Linked DNA regions of Canis lupus familiaris. The protein of the gene in region 1 purifies or fractionates together with the protein of each later gene. This does not show direct contact. Links are inferred from orthologs where the notes say so. Each region holds a gene or a part of one and is shown on either strand. Other genes may lie near its edges.

Region 1 (6,669 bases):
AGTAAAAGACGACAACAGAAGCAGCTATTTAGGGTTCTGAGGAAACAAGTAACAATTAAAACACTCACGCTGGCCTCTGTCCTGGGGTCTCTTCCTTGCCCCCAGGGTTCACATCCTTCTCCAGCAACATGAGTCGAAAGGTAGCCACTTTTTCCTGAATTTGCTGTTCCTCGTACCTAAAGAACAAATCCCTTCAAGGTTAAAGCTTGACTAGGCACTTTCCCCAGTCCCAAGTTTATAGTCTCCTCATTCCCAGGAGGATCCCTTTCCTTTCCATGCACACATAAAACTTCACTCACTGTTACCCAAAGGGCCTTTCTCTTAAATCTTGCTATTATCTTTCTTCTCTCTGCTTACTGAAGCCTCTAGAACAGTGGATTTTAAACAAGCTACACTCGAGGGGCCAAAAGAGTAAAGTTAAGCAGAATTCCAGGTGTTCCTCCCCAACTTCAACAGGCTATTTCCTGAGATTCCAAGGTAAGGTACACTGTATAAAAAGGGTGCCACTGCTGAAGTTTGAAAACCACTGCTCTAAAAGGTTTTCTGCCTGATTGTGCTCCAAAATTTCACTTCCCTACCCATCATCCCCTTATCCAGCTATTATTCCAGTTCTTCTTTTCCTGCCTTCGATATTTTCCAAGGCCTCAATCCTTTATATCCGTTTACTTTCCTCTTCTCTACCAATGGCAACACCTGTCAGCTTATACCTTAGCTCTTCTCTTGCCTGACACCTGCTTTCCCACCTCTCCCCTTAAAGTACATTTTTGTTTCTCAATGGCTCCCCCCTTTCCCCAAGGACCTTCACCTAAATAATTCAGACTCCCTCAGGCTTCCTCTTGTCGCAGTTACCTCATCTCCCACTTTGAGCTGTCCCTTAACTCCTTTCCACTTGCTAGCTCCTTAACCTCCTCCCCTCCTACAACTCCTCTCCAAGTCTCTTCAACCAGCCCTAAGTGCTCTACATCCCACCTAATTCCCCCAGCTCTGCACTCAGTGCTTGGCTCTCCCCCAGCCCTCCCCTCACCCCTGCTCTTCCATCATCTCTTCCAGCTCGAGGCATCGCAGCTCCACGCGCCGCTTGCGCTCGTGGTCCAGGATGTCAGGATTAGGCCGCTTCACCAGGGCAGCCTCCAGGCGCCGCAGTTCCTCCTCTCCCTTGTAGTCAGGCCGCTCACCCCGGCGGCCCCGCACCAGGGACAGGTTGCGCTGGACGTAGCCGTTGGTGCCGCTGCCCCGGGGCGTCGGCAGCCCGATCCCGTTGTACATGGCCCCGTGCCCGGGGGGAGGGGGGGGCACCACCGCTCCTGAAGGGGAGCGGGGAAACACGGGTCAGGGCCCTGACCCCAAACTAACCACCACCCAAATCCCTGTTCTCCTTCATCCCTATTTCAACATGAATCTCCACATTACACCTCCTTTAGCTGCATAATCCTCCTGGTCTCCTAACAAAAACCCTTCCTTACCTTTCCTATACTTTCCATTGAATGACATCTACGCTTACAGCCCTTTCCCCCCAAAATGCGAGAACTATTTCCATTTGTTTGCACCTAAATGTTCTTTTCCACCCTTAAAAAAAAAAAAAAAAAAAAAAAAAGAAACCTATTTCTCCCAAATTTCTCCACACTACCTCTTTATTCTCCTTTGGCCCCAATAAGCACAAGTGACGTCTCCACCAACCAATCTAATCCCAAACATCTGTTAACTGACTAGGATCTCCCAACACGGCACAACCACCACCATGGATCTGTGTCACCTAAAGGCCCACAGTCCAAGTTCAAAGGTTCTTCTAAAAACTGACCTGAAAACTTCAGACTACCCCGATACAAAAACAAAACCTACATATTTGAACTGTGGACTAATTGGTTCCAACATAAACCAAGTGTCCTGTGCAACCTCACACTCAAGAATAAAAGCCAGCACGCCTATCATAAACATATGATTCCTGAATACAGAATCCTCTTCTTCTTTACCTCCCAAGAGACCATTTCCTTGTTTCCAAATATTATAAGCTCCTATTACCAACCCCACCTAATAACTTATTCCTTTAATTTCCTTCCCAATAGGATTTCTTACATGATCTGCAGCTCACCCAAGTCTCGTTAGCTTTTACACATCATCTGTTCTCAACTCAATGCTCTGAACACATCAAATCAGCCTCCTCTGCTCCAACTACCCTGTACTCTCTACGTCCCTTGCCCTCAACTTATTCAGAAGCCCCCTCACACTTTATACCCATCTTCACTAACCTCAAACTGTCAGCTTTCCCTGGCAATCCTCTGTATCTGACTTCCTAGAGTTTCTCCTCCAGCCCTGTCTTATCCCTTTCATGTTATCTCCATGCCTCCTACCAAGTTCTATTTTCTCAACCTGTTCCAAAGAACCCTCAAACCCCCATTCTTCTGGTTAGATCGCTTAGTTACGCATACTCTATTTATTTTCCCTATTATGTATACTTTATTTCTTCCCTCATCTTATCCTGTCGAAGACAGCTTCACAGAGCGTAAATGAGGGAAAATTACCCCAAGAATAAAACCCAAAAAATAAGTAAAATTAGTTAAAGAGATAAAAATGGATAAAAGACTTATTTTTAAAATTCTAAAATTTTTTTAAAAAGTATACAAACACCTGGAAAAATATACTAAAACAAAAACATAAGTATGGGGAGACAACGAATGGAAGAAAAATTGCCGAATTCCAGAACTGCTTGTACCTCTATCCCCAAACTCTAAAGGCTGGATCCCTGCCCAATCCCATTAGCAGATCCAAGAAAGCTTGGGGGGGGGGGGGGGGGGGGGGCTTGGAAAAAAAAAAAAAGGCCTAAGGTAAAGGAGACAAAGCTAAACCTAGGAAAGGCAAGTAAATATGCACAAAAAATTGAAAAATCTCCTTACAGCACAAATCACTTTCTCTACCTTCCAATCTTCACTTCATTTTCTCAAATCCCAATCCTCCCTACTCTAAACCTAGGTCTCTTTCTCTAAACCCCACCTAATTTCTGCCTCCCATAAAGAACGCTTCTGACATGCAATTAATTCTTCAGCTTAACCATTCACCCACACTTCCATACCACCTCACACAAAAATCCTCCCACTCCATTAGGAGAAAAAACCAGTAGCTGCTGAGAAAAGAGTATTAAAACACAACGAATTGTAGAACTTTTAGAGAACAAGCCCCCCCCCCAATCCCACAGCTTCAGAGGCAGTCCTCAAAACACTAAAAGGAAGAACCTAAGGGGAACGTCAACACAGAGAAATAACCAAAAAAAGTAACTTTGTAATAAAACAGGCATTCTTAACTGGAGTCCACAGACTGGGAAAGCACAAAAGTTACTCAAGCTAAAGTCAGAGTAAAAATAAGCTGCAAAGCAAGACAACAGAGAATTTCTTTTGTTGGGAAATTTATCACAATGCCAAACTAACAAAGCGTTAGAAAGCAACCTGGAAATTCAATACTAAGATACTGAAGACAACGCACCAAAAACAAGGAGGTAGACGTGCAGGAAAATGGACATAGGTAAGCGCGGAGAGGGGGCATTTCGGTGGCTCGGAGGACACTATGGAACCCAGAAAGTTTGAAATATTAGTTCAAGAAGAAAACCTAATAGCACACACTTAAAACACAACACTGTCTCCGAATTTCTGGTCCAGACGACATCTTAGATAAGCGTGAGTGGAAATGAAGCCTCCGAGAGTTGGGTGCCAAATAATGCCTGAAACGGCGCCCAGCGATTCCTTCCCAAGGAAGGGCTCCAACGGCCTCCTCGGCTTTAACACAACTTTTGAGAAGACGATTATAGAGTGGAAAAATGAAAAAAAGAATTAAGAGAGACCCAGACTGCCTTTACGTACCTGGGCTGAACACGTCTTAAAAAAAAAAAAAAAAAAAAAAAGGTGGGGGGAGCAAGGTTTGCAGCGCCCCTCTGCCTAGCGCTTCGGGGCCCGACGCGCGGACACCTCGTCCCGGGCCTCCCAGCAGCGGCCGGGCTGCCGAGGCCTATTTTCGGCCTTGAGGCATGGGGGAGGGGGCTGCGCGGCGCCCGGGAGTCTGGGCGGCTCTGCGCCGGACCGCAAGCCCGCAGGAGGGCCCGGAGGCCGGAGGGGCTCGGGGGAAGCGATCGGGGAACTGGCCCCCGCCGCCGCCTCCCCACCGACAAAATGTCGGAAGGGGCAGCCGCGGGAGGGCCTCCTCGGCCGCACGCGTGGGGGAGGCGAGAAGCCGAGGCGCGCGCTCCCCACCTCCCCGCCGCGAGCGCGCGCGAACCCGAGAGCAGTCGGCGGCGCGAGCCGTTGCCATGGGGGAGGGGAGGGCAGTAAAAGCCCGCGCGCGACGGGAACCGAACGCAGCCGAGGGGGGGAGGGGAGGCAGGCGAGCGAGAGCGTCCGCACGAGCTAGGAGCGGCGAGCGCGCGTGCGCGCGGCGGCCTGGACCGTTCTCCGCGCGCTTTGGCCTCGCGCCGGGGGCCGCCGCCCCTCCCCCACCCGGCTCGCGCGCTCCCTCACCCTCTCACCCGCCGCCGCCTCCGCCCGCCGCCTCCGAGGGGGAGAGGTGTTGCCGCCGCTGCCGCTGCTTAAGCTCCCGAGTCCCTCGGGGCCTGGAGCTGCCGCCTCGCCTCGCCGGTCCGCCTGCCTGCCTCAGCCGAGACCGACGCCTCCTCGCTTCCTCAGGGGCCGCAGCGGGTTCCGACTGCGCCACTCGCACCCCGCCTGGGCCGCGCTGCACGTCAGCACGACCAACTAAGCGCGTCAGCACGCACCCGCGCGCGCGGCGCAGGGCCCGTCGGGAACCGTAGTACGCCCTGCGGCATTGTGCGCAGGCGCCGAAGCCACACCGGGAACTGTAGTTTCTTAAGGCCCGAGGGAGGGTCAACTCCACAGCCAAGGAACTACAAATCCCTTTAGCCAGTGCGACGAAGGGCGGGCGAGCGGCCCGAAACGGGCCACGTATTCCAGAGCGTTTCCGCCGGGAGCGGGGCGGGGCACAGGGCCTAAGCGCCACATCGAGGGTCGCTAGCGCGCTCCCCGCCCTCCCACTTTCGACGCAGAGCACTGTGGGAGTTGTAGGTCGTGCGTGCCGCGGGACCCGTATGTGGCTTCGCCAGGGACACGGCCGCCATTTTATCTCCCCATGTTTGGAGTTGATGGTGCGAGCCCAGCGACATAGCTGCTCCCGCGTGAGCGCGGGCTTCGCGGGGCGTTCCCGCGGCCGCGTCGCCCTCGGCCTTCAGCCCCCGAGAGAAGCCCCCGCAGCCCCCAGGCAGCGGGCACGCCCCTAGCTTCCAAGCCCGGCGTCAGGCGCAGGGCAGGGCCTGAGCCGAAGGCCGCGGCAGCTGCGTAGGCCTGGACCACCCGCAGGCCGCTGCACCCGGCGCTGAGCCGGCCCGTACCGGTGGCTCTGGCTGAGGAGGCCGGTGGCCAGGCCGCGCTCTCCTCCGGAACCTGGACAGGCTCTCCGGGCACGGCGGAAATGTCACAAACACTCTTGGTTGCTCACCTCGCACGGGAGGGCGGGTCTCCCGTTACCGACTTAAAGTCCGTTTCTCCAGCCGCTGTCTCCAAGCAGAGCGGACAGGCGCCAGGCTCCGCCGACCTTGGGCTCGCCCTTGGCGGTGCCCGGGGTCATGACCTCTGGTGCCCCGCAGGCAGCGGCAGGCCCTTAGCCTTCGGGGCCTTGTGCTGGCTGTTCACAGATTTCTTCTTTAACCTGCCCCCGGGGCTCAGGGGCTGGACCGGGACCGCGAGCGGGACCCTCCCGGGACCCAGGGGACCGTGTGCACCTGAGCTGGGGTTTCTGGAGTGCAGGGTGCGGTGAGACTCTCTTCCCAGGGATGATCCTTGTAATTACCCAATGTTTTTGTGCGGTGTTTTTTTTTTTTTTTTTTAAGATTTAATTTATTTATTCATGAGAGACAGAGAAGCAGAGACACAAGCAGAGGGAGAAGCAGGCTCCACGCAGGGAGCCCGACATAGGATTCATCTCGAGTCTCCAGGATCACGACCTGGGCCCAAGGCGGTGCTAAACCACTGAGCCACCCCGGCTGCCCTTACCCAGTGTTTTATGCTGAATCCTGTATGTGAGTCTGCATTTGATTTGATGTTCGTAACAACCGCACGCAGAGAACAACAGTGAACCCCTTACATATCCACAGCCTGGCTTTCCGAATCTGGAAAAGCTGGCTGAAACAATACATAATCTGCGGGTCTGTCTGTTTTTTTTGTTGTTGTCGTTGTTGTTGTTGTTGTTGTTGTTCTATGAAAGAGAGAGAAAGAAGCAGGCTCCATGCAGGGATCCGACGGACTCAATCCTGGGACTCCAGGATCATGCCCGGGGCTAAAGGCAGGTGCTAAACCGCTGAGCCACCCAGGGATTCCTACAATCTGCGGGTGTTACTGAAGCATTGTTAGTGGTTCCAATAAATCTTTCCTAGTAAGACAAGGTTCAAAACCGTGCACGCCTGGCATTCAGTTGTCCCGTCTTTTTCAGACTTCTTTAATCTGGAACAGTTCTAGTTCTTGGTAATTCATGACATTGCCATTTTTTGTAGGACATCCCTAAAGTTGGGTCTGTCTTATGTTTCGTTGTTTTCGACTGGGGTCGCACACGTTGGCCAAGAGAGACCATGGAAGTGATGCTGTGTTCTCAGCGCATAACACGAAGAGGTACATACTTTCC
Region 2 (6,669 bases), on another chromosome or scaffold:
TTAACAAATAGTGCAAGTAACTAAAGCATGTTCCCAGTACACAGCTGACTAGATGACACTTCTTACGGGAGATGAAGCAAGATGCGTTTCAGATCCTACTGACCCTTTGGTGCCTGTTGCATAGGCTCTGTGAAAACTGGCGCAGCACTGGAGCAGAAAACCTCTCCTGAGAGGGACTCTCTCTGGACTGCAACTGCCAGGGGGCATCTGTCCTACATAATAAAAACACGGCTCTGCTGTGATCTCTTGAACCCACTTCTAGCTCCAAGCTCCCTAGAGTGGACTCACCCTCCTTACCATCCCAGAGGCCTCGTGGTCCCCAAGGGGGACCCGCCTGTTATGCTCGTGTGCAGCCTCTGCTGTGTCCTGCAACTCACTTCGCACACTGTATTTTGGGGGAGGGTGTCATCCCACCCTATTAGACTAACCCCAAGGACAAACACCCAAGTCTACCTTGCTCCCCCTTATTCCCGGTGAGCGCGGTTCAGGAGAGACGACACCTGACGAAGTTCTCGTCCTTTTCATGGGCTCTGGCCTAAAATGTTATAAAGTTATTGGCCCCAAACAAAAGGAAGAGGCATTTGAGATGTGTGTTCAAACACAGCGAAGGCACATTGCAGGGAAATGGCGTAGAAGTGTGAAGGCCAAAGACAAACCTCGGTGGATGGTAAGATGAAAAACCTCTGAACAAGTGCAAAGAGGCAGCTGTCCTCTTCTCACTTAGTAGGAACGCAAGGGTTTTTTCTCTCACTGATGTCACAACTTGTAAAGTCACTAATCTTTCTCCTACTCATGGCAAGGTTATTTTCCATGCTCAGTACCTAGAGCAGTGCTGTCCCACAGGAGTATCATATACAGTGTAATTAAAACATTCTGGTAGCCATATTTTATTTTTAAAATTTTATTTATTTATCAGAGAGACACAGAGAAAGAGAGAGAGAGAGGCAGAGACACAGGCAGAGGGAGAAGCGGGCTCCACGCAGGGAGCCTGACGTGGAACTCGATCCCGGGTCTCCAGGATCACGCCCCGGGCCCAGGCGGTGCTAAACTGCTGTGCCACTGGGGCTGCCCTGGTAGCCGTATTTTAAACATAGGTGCAATGAACTGAAATCACATATTTTATGTGACTCAGTATATGTAAAATATTGTCATTTCAGTCTACAGACAACATAAAGGTCATTCACCAGGTATTTTACATACTTTCACCCTGAAACCCACGTGTACTTTACAACCCAGCCCTAGACCACAGCTTGCCAAAACTGTGTGCAACCTCAGAGAGGGCATCCCGAGGGCTTTGGGATGATGCTTCATGGAGTAAGAAGATGTAACAACTCACGTTTTATTTTAGAGTCTAAGAAAGTCAGGTTTAGAAATATTTAAATTCGACTAACACCAGCATTCTCTTCAGGTGTGTTCATCAGATGAACCATCCCATAGGGATTGAATATGTTGGGCCCTTAAGGCCAGAGCTTCTGCAGGCAGGTAGCCCTCGTTTACTTGTTCCCTGCCAATGAATTGTAACCCACTGAACTCTACGCATGTCTGGTTTAGTGGATGAAACGATTATCCGCTTTTTTTCATTAAAGATTTTATTTATTTATTCATGAGAGACACAGAGAGAGAGGCAGAGACACAGGCAGCAGGAGAAGCAGGCTCCCTGTGCGCAACCTGATGCAGGGTTGCAGGACCCCGAGGTCACGACCTGAGCCAAGAGCAGCCGTTCAGCTGCTGAGCCACCAGGCGTCCCAATTATCCACTTTTAAGTAAATGCACCTTCACAACAGAGGAGCACTCAAACAGCCCCGGAAGGACGCCGAGGATGAAAGGCCCAGTGATGGGAGCCACGCCAACGGTGAGACAGGGAGTGAAGTCCTCACCAAGGGAAGGGGCGCGCGCGACTCCCCGCCTGCAGCGGCGCAGGTCGGAGCCAGGTCAGGGGGTGACGCTGGTCCAGGAGGGGCTCTCGGGGACGTCTGGGCTCAGACGCGAGACTGGCTCCCGCGCCCCGAGGTCAGCAGCGCGGGCTCCCCTGCAGCGCGCAGGAGCCCGGGAGCTGCAGGTGCAGCGCAGCAGCGACGCTTTGCAAGTTCGCGCTGCACCTGTCGCGGCGAGCGGGCGCCCTCTGCCCGGGCCTCGGGCCTCAGGCCTCGGCGGGAGGAGGGTGCGGAGGGGCTGTGGGCTCCGCGGAGCTCCCCTGGGCCACCAGCCCCGTTGCAGACAACCCGCGCAATACGCGATCCCCGCCGCTTCGGCCGTATTTATAGGGCCTGGGCGGAGCCCCGCCCCTAGCGAGATCCCGCGGCAGCTTAGACCTCGCGAGAGCAGTAGCAGCCCCCGCCCCTCTCACGCGGAGAGCGGCTCAGGGTCCCGACGCACGCTCGTGCGCACGCGCGCGGTGACGTCAGTTCCTGGCGCCGGCGGCGCGGGGCCCTGCTTCCGCTTTCCTCCGCGGCGCGCGCTCCGCTCTCAGCCGACGCGGGATCATGGCGGCCGTGGCCACGATGGCGACCTCGGGCTCGGCGCGGAAGCGGCTGCTCAAAGAGGAAGACATGACCAAAGTGGAGTTCGAGACCAGCGAGGAGGTGGACGTGACGCCCACGTTCGACACCATGGGCCTGCGGGAGGACCTGCTGCGCGGCATCTACGCCTACGGTCGGGGGCCGCGGGGCGCGGGCGGGGAGGGCGAGGGCGCGGCCCGGGGTGGAGGGCGACCCCCGCCGGGCACCCTGCGCTCGGCCTGCGTGGGTGTCGGGGGTTCGGCGGGTCGTCCCCGGGCGCTTGGGGGGCGCTGCCGCCGCGGATGACGGGCAGGGGCCGGGCCCGCGCTGCCTGGGCCCCGAGGGAGCTCCGGGTACTTCGGGGAGCCGGGATGCTTCGGGCGCTGGTGATGGCTGCGAGGGGGCGGGTGGGGGCTCCCGGGGGGTTGACCTGTGAGCCCGGGTCTGCCCCGAGGAGCCCCTGGCACGACGGAGCAGCCGGTGCCAGTAGCCCGCAGCACGGAGCGGGGTGCTCTCCAGGGCCAGGAGGAAGCGCTCCGTGGTGGGAGCCCAGGGGCTACTCGGGAGCGGCAGGCAGGGCCGGATCTCGCCCAGCGCTCTGTGAGCTGAAGAACAGCTCGCATTTTGTTCCTAAGTGCAGAGGGAAGCCATGGGGTTTGAAGCAAGGGGAGTGGCAACGCTGGGGTCTGCACCCTCTGAGTCCGTGCGCTAGAAGGGGCATGAGAGGTGAGGCAGGGGAGGTGATGACGTTGAGCCGGGGAGGGGTTGAGGATTCCCCGGGCGTTGTGAGCAGCCGGTGGGTGCTGCTGGCGATTGCTCATGTGGGGAGCCCTCGGAGGCAGGGGAGTCTCAGGGGCCTGTGAGCCACCCGGCTGCAGGTGCCGGGAGCCTGGGGAGAGACCGTGTTGGGGGTCCAGACCGGGGCGATCAGCCTCTGTGCTGACGCCTGGGCCTGGAACTCCCTTTACCCAACAGTCCCTGGTGTTAGTTACCAGGTGTAAAGCAGAGAGGGGATGGGAGGTGACAAAGCGGAGGTGAGGCTGATGGTCCTACCCACCTCTCAGCCTCCCCGGCAGCCCTGCCCAAAACACTGTTTTTAGTTTCCCCGCCTGTGTGCTTGCTTGGATGGTCGCTGTGAGGGTTTTTTAAATCATCCGTGTTACAGTTTTAACTTTAGACGGGAAGTCCGGGCTGAGTTTTAAAAGGCTACCGAAGAGTAACTAAGATATATTTTATGCACGTGAGCTTTTGTTTACTTGGGAAATGTTTTTTTTACCCTCTCCAAGTAGCCTCGTTCTAGAGTGATGTCGTAGCTGGTGAAGCTGCATCACAAGTGGAAGGAGCGCAGCGGGCACTCCGCGGAACGGCCCGAGCCGTAGAGTCATTGCTGTGGCAGACAGCACAGACAGCGTGTAGAGCTGATGCAGAGAGGAAAGAGGGGGCGGCCACGGTGCCACTGGATTCATTTTTCTTTCTTGTAGCATAAAAAGTAATGGAAATGTTAAAAGAGCAGCGCAGGCTATCGTAACGTACGCAGTGCAGGAGGAATTGAAGTAAAAGATGAGCCTTTCCCATCCATTCTCAGGAGCACCACCATTAACATTTGGGTGTTTTTTTGTTTTTTGTTTTGTAATCTAACTGGGGTCTCTGCGTTCTGCAATGTTCCTTTTATAGAGATTTTGTCTGTGCACATAAGATCTGTGTTAGTGTAAAAATACAGTTCAACCCAATTCATTCAGCAGCTGTTTCTTGAGCTTTGGTGTGTTGGACTTTGCGCTAAGAGGGGTGGACGTGGGGGCTTAAAAAAAGATACCATCTGTGTCCCAAGGAGCTGCCAGTGTCCTCATGTTAGAACTTTCGCTTTCTTTTTACAGGTTTTGAGAAACCATCAGCCATCCAGCAGCGAGCCATCAAGCAGATAATTAAAGGGAGAGACGTCATTGCTCAGTACGTCACCGGTAGAGAATGGGGTTAGGTGCTTGTCAGCTGAGTACAGCGCTTTGAGGGGACCCCTGTTCTCCCTTTCCACATATGTGTCAGTAGCCCTTTCCTCAGCTTGAGCCACGGTGTCTTGTTTTTTGTTTTTGTGTCCTTTAGAAAGCTGTCATATTCTTAGCCAGCTTCACTTACCTAGCAGCTGGCATGCAGAATGGTTTAGCATACTCTCTTAATGGCTTTATTCCTGATTTGTGTTAATTTTAAAGACTTCTTTACAAGAAAAATTATTTTTGGAGGACGGTTATAGTCCAAAATTGCAGAAGAGAATTACATTTCTATAAAAGGGAGCCTCTTTTTTTGGAGTCTGTAACACCCGTCAGGGTTATAGATCCTGCGGCTCCGACTCCCCTAGTGCAGAAGTTGCATCCTCCTGATCTTACCTTATTGCTCGTGACCCCACCCCGGGCAGTGGAGGAGGAAGCCGCTGTTCTGCAGCTGTCCTGCAGCTGTCCTTTGGAGCACTGCTGTGGTGGGGTGAGGTGAGTGGGAACACATAGCCCATCCTTTTTCACCTCTACCTGTGTTTTCTTGAACAGATCACAATCTGGCACAGGCAAAACTGCCACCTTCAGCATTTCTGTCCTCCAGTGTTTGGATATTCAGGTAATTTGCCAGTCTTCAAATGAACTTATCTTTAATCCTTGGAAATACTTTTGTTTCTTTTGTAACTGCAGTGTCTGAAAAGGACGGTTTTTAAAAATGTGTACTTAGTTGTACTGACTCAAATTTTTCATGATATTCTTAATTACACACTAATAGGAGAGCTAACTAATACTCTGTCCTAAGTTCCTTGTCAGCTAAATGGAGAGAGACATTTTTAGTGGGCATTCTTTTAGTGGCCAAGCAAGAATTCTGCCCAGTGAACCCCATGATGACTGGGTTCACACATGAACTTACATTCAGGTTCCTTTGTCTCTATTAGAAATGAGATGTATGGTTAATGCGATGTAACATTCAAGATAGATCTGCATCTGACTTCGTGCAGTCTGCCTTGAGAATACTGAGGATTCTCTGTTTTCTGACAAATTATTTTACCAGGTTCGTGAAACCCAGGCTTTGATCTTGGCTCCAACGAGAGAATTAGCTGTGCAGATCCAGAAGGTGAGCCACTGAGAGTTAGTGCTGTATTCCCAAGTGCTGCTTTCTGATTCAGGTGTAAAAGGTTGGCTGGTTGATTTAATCTAATCCTGTTTTTTTCCCTCAAATTTTACTTCCTGATTTTTGGCATAAATCATTGTTATGATTTATGTTGTTGGTTTATACTGAGTCATTTTTACTGAGTCATTTTTAGTGTAGCTGGTATGATTCCAGTATCTTTTTGCAGTCTCAGAATTGTAGTTTTTTTCAACAAAGAAATCATTTTAGTAGTTATTTTTGTACTTTATATTAAGATGTTGTTAGAATTGTTTGTGAGTGGCTAAAATTATGAGTTTTACGTATTTCCAGGGCTTTTTGTAATTAAAATGTATTTCTTTCATAAGAAACCAGTAAAGTGAACTTTATTTTGGCATGGAAGCAGGAGGTTGGGTCTTTTTGTAGTTTTATGGTGTAAACGATGGAATAAGTAGTACTTGGTATGTCGGAGTAGAGATTACCTTCACTTTGGGGAAACTTGGAGGTCTCTGACTTTGGTCCTGAGGTGAGGCCCCAGACGTGACCCTTGTTTTAATTCAGGGTCTGCTCGCTCTGGGGGACTACATGAATGTGCAGTGCCATGCCTGCATCGGGGGCACCAATGTGGGAGAGGACATCAGGAAGCTGGACTACGGGCAGCACGTTGTTGCTGGCACACCTGGACGTGTCTTTGGTAAGTGCTTGGGGCGTTACAAGAAGTGCTTGAAGGACCCAGGACCGTTTCCATTTGCTGTGCTGTGTGGTAGCGCTTGCGTGCAAGTGATGTAAGAAGTAGGCAAGAGGCCTCAGAAATGCTCTGAAAACCAGGGGGAATGGCTGGCTGTTTCCTCGTGGTCCGAGGTCTAAGGATATCAAACTGATTCCACAGATATGATTCGGCGCAGGAGTTTGAGGACACGGGCCATCAAGATGTTGGTGTTGGATGAGGCTGATGAAATGTTAAATAAAGGTAGGAGTCACGAAAGCAGAGATTTTCTCTTGACTTTAATGTTAACACGTTCACATCGTGGAGCTGAAACATGGAGCTAACGCCAGTGTT

The links. Proteins that work in one complex are often made in the same cells at the same time.
Region 2: the proteins of SRRM2 (region 1) and EIF4A3 purify together in Homo sapiens (affinity purification with mass spectrometry; 3 studies listed by BioGRID and IntAct, with this or other methods). This does not show direct contact. The link is inferred for Canis lupus familiaris from reciprocal best matches to the Homo sapiens genes SRRM2 and EIF4A3.

The regions. Positions count from the first base shown.
Region 1 is NC_049227.1:38,734,731-38,741,399, reverse strand, and holds the start of SRRM2 (serine/arginine repetitive matrix protein 2), read right to left. Parts: upstream 3,527-6,669; 5' UTR 3,512-3,526; coding exon 3,475-3,511; intron 1,305-3,474; coding exon 1,025-1,304; intron 177-1,024; coding exon 69-176; intron 1-68. UniProt on the Homo sapiens protein: Required for pre-mRNA splicing as component of the spliceosome. As a component of the minor spliceosome, involved in the splicing of U12-type introns in pre-mRNAs.
Region 2 is NC_049230.1:2,442,964-2,449,632, forward strand, and holds the start of EIF4A3 (eukaryotic initiation factor 4A-III), read left to right. Parts: upstream 1-2,424; 5' UTR 2,425-2,483; coding exon 2,484-2,652; intron 2,653-4,372; coding exon 4,373-4,445; intron 4,446-5,032; coding exon 5,033-5,099; intron 5,100-5,534; coding exon 5,535-5,597; intron 5,598-6,170; coding exon 6,171-6,303; intron 6,304-6,498; coding exon 6,499-6,579; intron 6,580-6,669. UniProt on the Homo sapiens protein: ATP-dependent RNA helicase. Involved in pre-mRNA splicing as component of the spliceosome. Core component of the splicing-dependent multiprotein exon junction complex (EJC) deposited at splice junctions on mRNAs.